3 linked regions of the Nothobranchius furzeri genome follow. The protein of the gene in region 3 purifies or fractionates together with the protein of the main gene of each other region. This does not show direct contact. Links are inferred from orthologs where the notes say so. Each region holds a gene or a part of one and is shown on either strand. Other genes may lie near its edges.

Region 1 (3,755 bases), on a different chromosome or scaffold from region 3:
ACCCTTGCAAGGGTATAGAGCTGGTCCACAGTTCCACGGCTAGGACGAAAACCACATTGCTCCTCCTGAATCTGAGATTCAACTATCGATCGGACCCTCCTCTCTAGTACCTTGGAGTAGACCTTTCCAGGGAGGCTGAGGAGTGTGAACCCCCTGGCGCCTGACAGTTTGCCAGAACCACTTTGGAGCCGATCGATAGTCTTTGTCCATGGCCTCACCAAACTCCTCCCACGCCCGAGATTTTGCCTCGGCAACTGCCACTGCTGCACCCCGCTTGGCTTGGAGACCCACAGACCAACCACGTTCTGTAGGTCTCCTTCTTCAGCCTGACAGCTCCCCGAACCTCTGGTTCAAAGCTTTCAGCAGCTTTCGGGACACCTCTGTGTTCCACCCGGTTTTACCCAGCGGTCAGATCAGCGTATCTCTGACTCAGAAGCTCTGGTGTTGTGCACAGTTAACTCCGGTTGTAGCTAGGTTGCTACCTCTGTTAGCTTAGCACCCACCTCCACGTTAGCTTTGGGTTAGTTTCAGGTTAGCTTGTAGCTAGTTCGACCGAGTGTCGTTAGTTGAGCCCAGCCTTACAGCCACACCCTCAGCTCCACCTCTCTTCCCTTTTGTGGAATTGTCTGGGCTTGACGGAACCCGTAACACGGTCAAAATGGCGGTGGTGGCAACCTCCCATTTAGCCTCAAAAACGTGTTATTGGAGTCTATGGAAATGAATTGTCCAGTATATATGTCGATGGCCCCAACCCCAGGCCTGGCTCCAGGGTGGGACCCCGGTAACCCTCCGGGCCGGGTACTCCGACTCCTTGATGGTTCATCCATGAAAGATCCTTTGAACCGTTCTTCGTCTCACCCTTCACCTAAGACCAATTTGTCATGGGAGACCCTACGAGGGGTACAAAGTGCCCCAGACAACATAGCTCCTAGGATCATTAGGGCACAAACTCCTCCACCACGATAAGGTGACGGTTCAAGGAGCTTGCAAAAAATCCTTATTGGTGCAATCTACACATCCAAACAGTTAATCAACTTTTAAGTTAGTAATAATTACAAGATGATCGACACAAAAATGTGGATTATTTTAAGTCATCCTTGTAGAGCTTTGGCATCCAATAAACCAAAAATATTAACATTTTCTTGAGCTATATTTACTAAGGTCTTTTAAGATGCTTCAAACCTAATCTTTTGACAGTGGCTACTTCTTCACACATACGAAGGCATAAATTGTACAATAGTTTAAGTTCATATTTAGTTACTATGTGATTTCTAGTGTGTCATTTGTAGTAGATCAACCTAGGAACCAACAGCAGCACATTGGGTTGTCTTCAGGGATCTTTTATGTGGTGCTTCAGCAGTACTTCCGGCCCACATGTAAAACAGTACAGCGTGATTTATCTGCAAATAATACATTATTATTCTGAGTGTTTCTAATATAATCTTGATTAAACACATCTGCGATCATGAAGCTGCTCACACACAACATGCTGACGTCTCACGTAAAGGGAGTCACGAAAGGATACCCGCTGCTCATAAAGGTAAACGGTGAACATCTGAGTAGCATAGCGGCTAATGCTAACACGAGTTTCACCGTGATACCCAGGCCTGTCTTCTTCTAAAAACAATGAAATACATTTGTAGATATCTCTTCTTCGTGTAAACAAACATTACTGAGTTAAAATGTTTTCTGTTAAAACATCCAGGAGGTAAATTTGTGTCATGACTGCATAAGCTTGCACGTAAATCCTAGAAAGTACGTGAAGACATACTTTACATGAAATTAAAGCAAATTAAGGGTTTTGTTTACTTTCAATTGCCGGTTGAGTTGATGTCAGTGGTTGCCTGATGTGACAGCAGAGTCCACCTGACAGCCTGTGTTTTCTCCTAATGCTGTTTGTTCAGGCCACCGAGGTGAAGGTGAACGATGTAGACTTCAACCCTCAGTTTGTCTGCAGGATGATCCCCAAACTGGAGTGGAGTGCTCTGGTCGAGGCTGCAGATCTGGTGAGTAAACAGGTTTCTCCTTAAGCTAACCCACGGAGAGCCTCCACCTGCAGCTGTATGCATGCAGACATTTAATACTACACAGATTTATCATACATTTGGTTTTCTTCCTCTTCATAGTTGGGTCATCGACAAGATCTACCGAGTGAGCTGGTGCCAGACTACGAGAAAAATGAGGACTTCCTGAAGAAAGTGCACAGAGCTCTGTTGGAGGTAAAGGTCTCACTGACCTCCTCGTTCCTGTCACCCACATTTAAAAACATTTCAGTTGCAGAACCTGTTTTTCTCTTTAGTATTGACAAAGCGATACAGCCATAAAGTACTCTTAAACAAACTGTTGGAGTCTGGTTGTGTGTATTCAGTCACACTTAATTTTGGACTCAATGGTGCTTTTGTGTTACTGGCTGCAGAAATCTCAGCAGAGCTCCATTTTTATCCTCTAATGAATTCCATGACTTCAGCGCATCCGTTTGGCTCAGGATGGCGTTATGTGGAGGTCTACCGTTGGGACTGAAGAAGTTTTATACTTTTCTAGCTCACTTTAAACTATATCCTCTGCAAAACATTACACAGACACACTTTTACTCTAATTATGATCTTGGTGCGTTATAACTGGAGGGATTTTCTTAGAGGTTTTGGCTGCAGAAGTTTTCTCTTGTACTGCAAAGTTGTAAACACTTTGTTTTCCACAATGTGGTTCCATTGTTTCACAGATGACTTCCTGTGTGACCAACAGGATGATGGCATGTAAAACCACATTAACATGACCAACAGGATGATGGCATGTAAAACCACATTAACACAGATTAGTGCAACACAAAAATTAGCCTTAAAGGGGACTTATATTTTTCTTAAGTTATAATAGTTCAATAGTTGATACAAAGCATGTTTATGAAGTTCATTTCACTACATTCCTCTAACATAAAGCAATTTCAGCAGTTTTAATTTTGGCAGTTTCAGTACCTTCCAGAATGAGCCGTTTCAGGGTCAGAGTCTTTTTAAGGTGCTGGCGATACCCACCCATCTCCTGCTCCTGCTGCTATAAGCTGAAAAGCTTCAATTCCTGGTAGAGGCTTGGAGGAAAGCCGCTTTGATCTCCAAATCTGTAAATGTGTCCTAAATTAAACATTTTTCCGCTGCCATGGCTTCCCCATTTCTAAAATGCTCTTGGTTCAAAGTTTGCTTAAAGTTGTCACATATTTCCATCAAGTGTTTCTTCATAAATCACAAAGTTTTTGTGGAAACACGCAGTTTTCAGACCCCCGCTTTGTCCGTAGGCAAACTTTATTAATGAGGCCCCTGGTCTTTTTCAGGGATCAGAATGACCCAAACCAACCAACATCCCTCAAACGTGCACCGAAAAGCAATACATATTAGTATCTAGATTAAACTCTATAGCAGCTGTCCCCAACTCCCTTACCCGAGGGTCGGCGTCCAGCACGTTTTACTGTTTCCCTGCTTCAACACACCTGGTTTTAATCAGCAGGTGATTAACGGGTTTCTGCAGAGCCTGATGAGCTGCTGAATTGGTGAATCAAATGTTCTGGATTAGGGAAACAACTAAAACATGCTGGATACCGGCCCTCGGGAAAGGGAGTTGGGGATCACTGCTCGACAGGAAAAACTTTCTAAATGTGTAACCTGCTGGAGACTTTTACATCCCTGCTTGTAGTCTTTTAATGTGGTTGCATTATGTTAGGAAAGAAGCTGTAAACCCACCCACTGGGATCTGAGGTGGCTAAACTTTTG
Region 2 (3,655 bases), on a different chromosome or scaffold from region 3:
TCCGTCACCCTCGTCTGAGTCATCACTGAAGGAGAGAAACAAACATTAGCAAAGCTTCCGAGCTGCTGTCCAGCGCTGATCGAGAGAGGAGTCAGAATGTTACGGAGGAGGGCAGCAGGAGCAGTAAAGGCGGAGACACGGAGGTGGAGGAAAGGTGTGGGCAGTGCTGGGGCACCGTGCAGCTCGGGGCGGGGTCCAGACTGGAACCCCACCCTGACTAGTGCTGATGGGTCCTCCTCTGTGACTTGAGGCGGGTGAAAAAGGTAGAAGAGAAGGAGGACAGGTCAGGGAGCAGTTAGAAGATGGTGAGGAGGCACTTACTTGTCCACCGTGTGCTCTGGGACGCCAGCGGCCGCCAGAGCGGCTTTGTACTGATGCAGCACGCCGCGGACGCTCTTCACAAACCCTTTGGAGAGCGGGAAGAGCGGGAAGCCGATGTCCGGGTACCCGCTGCCCTCCGGGAGGAAACTCCGGTAACTCTTCCTCCTTTTCTTTGGTCGAACCACTGGCTGGCTCCCCGAGGAGCCCGCCCCCCCCACGCTGGCGGACACGGAACCAGAATCTGACGTCCCAGTGCGGACCACAGAGCCAGCTTTGACCTCACCCCCCAGGGTGAGGTCACCGTCTGAGTTCTGGCTCAGCTCCTCCTGAGGAGCTGTAGTGGTGGACGGACTCAGCCCCGAATCCTCCAGCTCCTCCTCTAGAATACTGCTAACTCCCATCACCGCCTCATCACTGGGCTTACTGGGACTGCTGTGGGCCACAGCCACCAGTCCAGAGCCCGCAGGCTGCTGCTCGTCTTTCAAGTGGTGGCTCCTGGAAGAGGAGTAGGCCGAGTGGCCTCGCTCAGCGGCGTCGTGCAGCTCCAGCCACGCCTCCAGACGGTGCACGAGTCGCCAGCCGCTGGACACAAAGTGCTCCCGGATCTCCTGCTTGAAGACCTCCGCAGGATGCTGGAGGAGCTGCGTCATGGACTGGACCATCTTGATGAGAGCCATCTCGTTGTAGCAGCGACTGTTCTCATAGCCCTCCTGCAGACCCCGGTCGCTGTCGAAGCCGGCTTCGTTGTAGTACGGCTCGTTGACCAGGATCAGACCTGCAGAGGAACCGCCAGAACCACGGGCTCAGAAAAAACCCTAAAACACCTGGAGAACCAGGAAGTGCTGTGTGTGTGTGTGTGTGTGTGTGTGTGTGTGTGTGTGTGTGTGTGTGTGTGTGTGTGTGTGAGAGAGTGTGTGAGAGTGTGTGTGTGTGTGTGAGATAGAGAGAGAGAGAGAGTGAGAGAGTGTGTGAGCGTGAGAGAGAGTGTGTGTGTGAGAGTGAGTGAGTGAGTGAGTGTGACAGTGAAAGAGAGAGTGTGTGTGAGTGGGTGTATGTGTGTGAGAGAAAGAGAGAGAAAGAGAGAGAGAAAGAGAGAGAGAAAGAGAGGAAAAGAGAGAGAGAAAGAGAGAGAGAGAGAAAGAGAAAAGAGAGAGAGAGAAAGAAAGAGAGAGAGAGAGAAAGAAAGAGAGAAAAAGAGAGAGAGAAAGAGAGAAAAAGAGAGAGAGAGAAAGAGAGAGAGAGAGAAAGAGAAAAGAGAGAGAGAGAAAGAAAGAGAGAGAGAGAGAAAGAAAGAGAGAGAGAAAGAGAGAAAAAGAGAGAGAGAGAGAGAGAAAGAGAGAGAAAGAGAAAAGAGAGAAAGAGAGAGAGTGTGTGTGTGCGTGTGTGTGTGTGTGTGTGTCTAACCTTGTATGGAGATGAGGACTTGCAGCAGGCTGGACTTGCTGGTCCACCTCTCAGTCCCCTGTGGACGACAGAACCAGGGAGTTGAACTGGGTTGGGTCCAGTACTGGCTGGGACGGCCCAACAGCACTCACCTTTCCGATCCAGGTTCCCAGCAGGCTGACGCAGACTTTGCCGTTGTCGTACAGGTTGGGATTGAGGCGGCCGCTGCACTGGGACAGGTAGCGGAACAGCGGCGGCACGGCCGGGTAGATGTTGGGCAGCTGGATGTCGAAGAGGAAGAGTCCGTCCTCGTACGGGGTTCTGGTTGGTCCTTTGATCAGAGCTGAAAACAGGTCCTGTGTCACAGGAAGAGCAGAACTCACCCACTTGTTCTTTAGGGGTCAAAAGATGCCGGTGCTGGTGGATCACTGGTTACCCGAGTAGAATCACAAGTGTTTTCTCACACTCTTAACGCCGAGCGGAAGCAGAGCCGGTGCTGATCCAGAAACTATATTTGTGTCATCCTCCAGCTCTACATCTGTAGCTACGGCTGCACCGTCAGGCTGCTTCCTAATCTGGTCTATGAATGTGGTCCAGATGAACAGAAGGTTCTGCTGCATCCTGGTTCCGCCCAAACAACCTAACTGTGGCCAACTACTTTGTTGGTTTGATGAGTCTGAAGAAACAAGTGTGTTGTCATGGCAACACTTCTAAAGCAAACCAAAACAGATCTTTGGTGATTGGACAAAAAAACATCTACGTCATCAGGTGTGTGCATGCGTGTGCGTGTGTGTGTGTGTGTGTGTGCGAATGTGCGTGCGCGCGTGCGTGTGTGTGTGTGAATGTGCGTGCGTGCGTGTGTGTGTGCGTGTGTGCGTGCGTGCGTGTGCATGCGTGCACATGTGTGTGTGTGCATGCGTGCGTGCATGCGTGCGTGCGTGCGTGTGCATGTGTGTGCGTGTGTGTGCGTGCGTGCGGGTGTGTGAATGTGTGTGTGTGTGTGTGTGTGAGCGTGCGTGTGTGTGCGTGCGTGTGTGTGTGCGTGCGTGCGTGTGAGTGTGCGTGCGTGTGTGTGTGCGTGCGTGCGTGCGTGCGTGTGTGAATGTGCATGCGTGTGTGTGCGTGTGAATGTGTGTGTGTGTGCGTGTGTGTGCGAATGTGTGTGTGTGCGTGTGTGAATGTGCGTGCGTGCGTGTGCGTGAGTGAATGTGCGTGCGTGCGTGTGCGTGTGAATGTGTGTGTGTGTGCGTGTGTGTGTGAATGTGTGTGTGTGTGCGTGTGTGTGCGAATGTGTGTGTGTGTGCGTGAGTGAATGTGCGTGCGTGCGTGTGCGTGAGTGAATGTGCGTGCGTGCGTGTGCGTGAGTGAATGTGCGTGCGTGCGTGCGTGTCAGTACGGATCAGATAAAACCCACCATGCGGTCCTCGAAGGTCTTGACCATGATGCCGTCGGGCAGCGACGTTGCCAGCAGAGCCATCTCCTTCCTCACTGTGCTGAAAAACTTCTTGGCCTCTGCCGGCTGAAACTCCATTTTCTTAAAGGAGTGAGTGTCTGTTGGTGAGGAAACGGATGAAAGTGAACTTTACACAGCTGAGCTCTTGTTGATCTGTAGATTAACGGTTTCACACCCGTGTGAGGAACCCGTGACCTCACCTGGAGCCCACTCCAGCACCGAGAACACCTCCCCTTTGGCGCTGGTGAAGGTCACTCCAGGTTTCCCTCCACTCTGTTGGCACAGCACCGGCGTTTCGCTCAGGAACTCACTGGGCCACTCCTGGTTCCCCACCGGCGTCTGTGGCTCCTGCTGGGGTTTCTCCTCCGTGCTCCTCTCTGCCTGAGGAGACGCGGCGGGTCAAACCTCCTCTACTGACGAGGCGGATCATCACAGCAGCGGGACACCTACCTCTGTTCCTGCTCCGCCGCTCCCAGCAGACTCCACAACAGCTTCCAT
Region 3 (3,730 bases):
AATCACTGCACGCATTAAATTCCTATATTTTTCCTGATTTGACCAGTATCTTGAATTTTATATCTTGTTTTATTCTAATTATCCACAGCAAAATGCAAAAACGTCCAGTAACTTTGAGTTTTAATTTACCATATCCGAGGTTACGCGAATTCATTCATTCGTTCGTTCGTTCGTTCATTTATTCATTCATTCATTCATAGAGCACCTTCCCGCTGCCAACCAAGGCAGCTCATAGCACTGAACACAATAATGTGATGCTGTACAAGTAGCAAAACAGAAAGTGATGCATCCTAATAAAAATCGAAAAGTACTACACATGAGCTCATGTTAAGTACAAAGGCAATACAAATTTAATACAGCTAAACACTGCATACAGATAAGAACTAACCCAAGTACATATGAAAAGGGGAGGCCGGTTGACACAGTGATCATAAAAACAATCAGACCAGAAATGCACTTCTGTGGAACATAAATCACATAATAATAATAATAATAATAGTAATAATAATAATAATAATAATAATAATAATAATAATAATAATAATAATAATAATAATAATCATCATCATCATAATCATCATCATCATCATAATAACTATTATTTATAATTATTATTATTACATTTATGTGTGTGTAATAATTACATTGTTGTTGTTTTATTTATTATTTTCATAAAAAACCAATAAACAAAAATTACTTACCGCTATTATGAATATAAATAACAAGCGGTCATTGTACATGTTTGAAATTTTGTTTCTGAAAATAAATATATGAAAATGCAGTCTGCGTGCCAACCAGCAGATGGTGGCAAACCTTCAGTAAAAATACTCAAACTCAACGAAGAAGAACATCACGTGACCCGTAGATACAGTTCACATGTGGGATGTTCATCTTCCACGTTTCTTTTGATTTGTAGGTTTTATTTACTTTTACACATAAAGAAGCAAAATGGCTTCCAGCTGTCGACGACCGGAACACTCAGCTCCTCCGGATGTGGTCAGTTTATCGTCTAACTCTTTATTAAACCTCTAATAGTTGATCTCTAAAGTCTGCAGTGTTTCTGTAGATTCGTTTTGTTTGAAAAAACACAAAACTCAAAATCTTATTGATTTGATTGTTGTTATTGCAGTTCTACAATGAAGATGAGGCAAAGAAATACTCTCAGAAGTAAGTCTGCATGTTTGGTAATGTAACATTTGTTGTGTTTTAATGTCAAACTTGATGAGTTCTTTACATTTTATCATTATTTGCTTATTTTACATATGTTAGTGCATGTTCTCTTGTCTTTAGCTACATTCTGACATTATTTAACATTTTTAGGACACTTAGAGGATTGATTAATTAGCTAATACGTTTATTATCGAATTTTGAAATCACAACTGCTGGTGATTTTGTGAGTTTGGATGGAGAGAAACACAGGAGAAGAATAATGACACATATTTAATCATTTTAAACGTATGTAGTATGTGGATTTTTGTCATCAACTCAGCACAGTGTTAGTGATTAGTTGCCATAAGTGATCTGAGGTTTGGTTTGTGTAAACATCTGATTGTGTTTCTTGACTCTCAGCTCGCGGATGATTGAGATCCAGTCCCAGATGTCAGAGAGAGCTGTGGAGCTCTTAAACCTGCCGGAGGGTCAGCCCTGCTTCCTGCTGGATGTTGGGTGAGCTGGTGATGCTGAGTTGTTCTGTCTCTCTAAATTTAGAACTAAAAGAAAGCCATGATCTCGCTCTAGTTCATTCAGAGGTTTGTTGTGTTTTTGTTGCATTGAAAAATGCATTTTTCAGTTAAGCCCAGTTGACTTTAGCGTCTGTTTAGTCGATATTCTATATTTGCTGAATGTCAGGATTGAAGGTCTGTTCTGTCCCTCAGATGTGGATCTGGTTTGAGTGGAGACCACCTGTCAGAGGAGGGACACTACTGGGTGGGAATGGACATCAGCACTGCGATGCTGGGTTGGTTAAACCATCTTGTATCTGAAAGGAAAACAGCCTAAAATATAAAATCTCAAGTCAATAAAATACCTAGAAATACGTTGAAAGCTTTATTTCAACAACTAATGCAAAAACAAACTTAGTGTACAAACCAAATTGTTTAGTTCAAGTTACTGAGATACTGAAATACTGTTCTAGTCCCGTGCATTTACTGATATTTATATTTGCTATATAATTTTCTGGAATTGTATTTTTTATTATAGTATCAGATATATTTTTTAAAAGTTTTGATTTGACCACAGGAGTTAATTAAAGGTTGACCATGTAGAAGAAGGAAACCTTACCACCAGATATGTATAATAAATAAAATGTACTTTTTTAACCGTACATAAAATTATTTTCTGCTCTTGTGAACACACAGAAGTACAGGTTATTTCTAGCGTAAGCAGAAATGTATTCAACACCTTTAATCAGGCGTTAATGACATGAATCACTGTTTTCTGTTTATTTCTAAATATAAAGGAAATTTACTTTTTATGCATATTATACAAAACTCTTTAATCCTACAGTTTTTATGTAAATCACTGACGATGTGATATTTTTTTCTAACCAGATGTGGCTCTGGACAGAGAAGTGGAAGGAGACCTCCTGTTGGGAGACATGGGCCATGGGATGCCTTTCCGACCGGGAACGTTTGACGGCTGCATCAGGTGAAGAACAAGGTCTGAAATAGTGTTGCTGGAGTTGGGATTTGTTTATTATTAAGTTAGATTCTTTCCCTTTCCTGTCAGTATTTCTGCACTGCAGTGGCTTTGTAATGCAGACAAAAGGTCACACAGCCCTCCAAGGAGACTCTACACATTCTTTAGTACTCTCTACTCATCTCTGGTGAGATTCTATCTGTGCACACGTACAATAATCCATAACTCTTACTTTATAATCAACTCTTTTAAATATTTTTTCTCTTTCAGGCACGGGGGTCCCGTGCAGTTTTTCAGCTTTATCCAGAAAACTCCGAACAGGTGCAACATTCTCCCTTTCTCCTCGTTTTGTCTTTGTGTGATTGAATCTGATGTCTTGTTTTCGTTCTCCTCTGAAGCTGGAGCTGATCACAGCTCAGGCCATGAGAGCAGGTTTCAGCGGAGGGATGGTGGTGGATTATCCCAACAGCAGCAAGGCTAAAAAGTCAGAAACTTTTATTCCGAAATGATCTCAGGTCGATTTCGGCTTAATAGTCTGTGAAATTAGCAGCAGCTGTAATAAACGATGGCGGCCATATTGATTTACAATGGATGGCTCATTATAATAATTCCCTCATTTTCTTCCAGGTTTTTCTTGTGTCTGTTTGCCGGAGTGACCGGAGTTCTTCCTAAAGTGAGAAGCACATGAGTTGTGATTTGTTTGTTTTATTTATTGTAGTTTTAAATGTTTGTGTTTTTGTTCATTTCAGGGTTTGGGGTCAGAAACGTCAGGCAGAACAGTTCCAAACCAGGTTCAGTATTCAGGACAAAGGTAAAGCTATTCAGCAGGCACATAGAGCTTAATTATAATAACAATAATAATGTTTACATGGTTGGATATGATGAATTAATACAGTTTTTCTGATGGTTTTATCAATTATTTTCCTTCTTGGGATTTTTAGTACATTTAGCTCATTTTGGATCGCTGCTATTAATGTTAGGATATTAAACATAACTTTATTTTAACAACCTTTCATTTGAAAGAATTTAAATATTTTGACCTTGATTGCATCTTTTTATTTTCAAGACAAAATGTTCACCTTCTCAGTGTCCA

The links.
Region 1: the proteins of bud23 (region 3) and trmt112 purify together in Homo sapiens (affinity purification with mass spectrometry; 5 studies listed by BioGRID and IntAct, counting the BioPlex papers as one, with this or other methods). This does not show direct contact. The link is inferred for Nothobranchius furzeri from reciprocal best matches to the Homo sapiens genes BUD23 and TRMT112.
Region 2: the proteins of bud23 (region 3) and ube2o purify together in Homo sapiens (affinity purification with mass spectrometry; 5 studies listed by BioGRID and IntAct, counting the BioPlex papers as one, with this or other methods). This does not show direct contact. The link is inferred for Nothobranchius furzeri from reciprocal best matches to the Homo sapiens genes BUD23 and UBE2O.

Annotation. Positions count from the first base shown.
Region 1 is NC_091741.1:88,070,322-88,074,076, reverse strand, and holds the start of trmt112 (multifunctional methyltransferase subunit TRM112-like protein), read left to right. Parts: upstream 1-1,337; 5' UTR 1,338-1,465; coding exon 1,466-1,540; intron 1,541-1,904; coding exon 1,905-2,006; intron 2,007-2,126; coding exon 2,127-2,219; intron 2,220-3,755. UniProt on the Homo sapiens protein: Acts as an activator of both rRNA/tRNA and protein methyltransferases. Together with methyltransferase BUD23, methylates the N(7) position of a guanine in 18S rRNA.
Region 2 is NC_091747.1:74,395,229-74,398,883, forward strand, and holds part of ube2o ((E3-independent) E2 ubiquitin-conjugating enzyme), read right to left. Parts: coding exon 3,608-3,655; intron 3,539-3,607; coding exon 3,358-3,538; intron 3,256-3,357; coding exon 3,119-3,255; intron 2,061-3,118; coding exon 1,857-2,060; intron 1,784-1,856; coding exon 1,726-1,783; intron 1,097-1,725; coding exon 322-1,096; coding exon of another isoform or gene 318-321; exon of another isoform or gene 179-317; intron 26-178; coding exon 1-25. UniProt on the Homo sapiens protein: E2/E3 hybrid ubiquitin-protein ligase that displays both E2 and E3 ligase activities and mediates monoubiquitination of target proteins. Negatively regulates TRAF6-mediated NF-kappa-B activation independently of its E2 activity.
Region 3 is NC_091753.1:42,315,761-42,319,490, forward strand, and holds the start of bud23 (18S rRNA (guanine-N(7))-methyltransferase), read left to right. Parts: upstream 1-837; 5' UTR 838-948; coding exon 949-996; intron 997-1,129; coding exon 1,130-1,167; intron 1,168-1,569; coding exon 1,570-1,665; intron 1,666-1,874; coding exon 1,875-1,957; intron 1,958-2,549; coding exon 2,550-2,646; intron 2,647-2,727; coding exon 2,728-2,824; intron 2,825-2,907; coding exon 2,908-2,958; intron 2,959-3,035; coding exon 3,036-3,121; intron 3,122-3,264; coding exon 3,265-3,310; intron 3,311-3,386; coding exon 3,387-3,448; intron 3,449-3,730.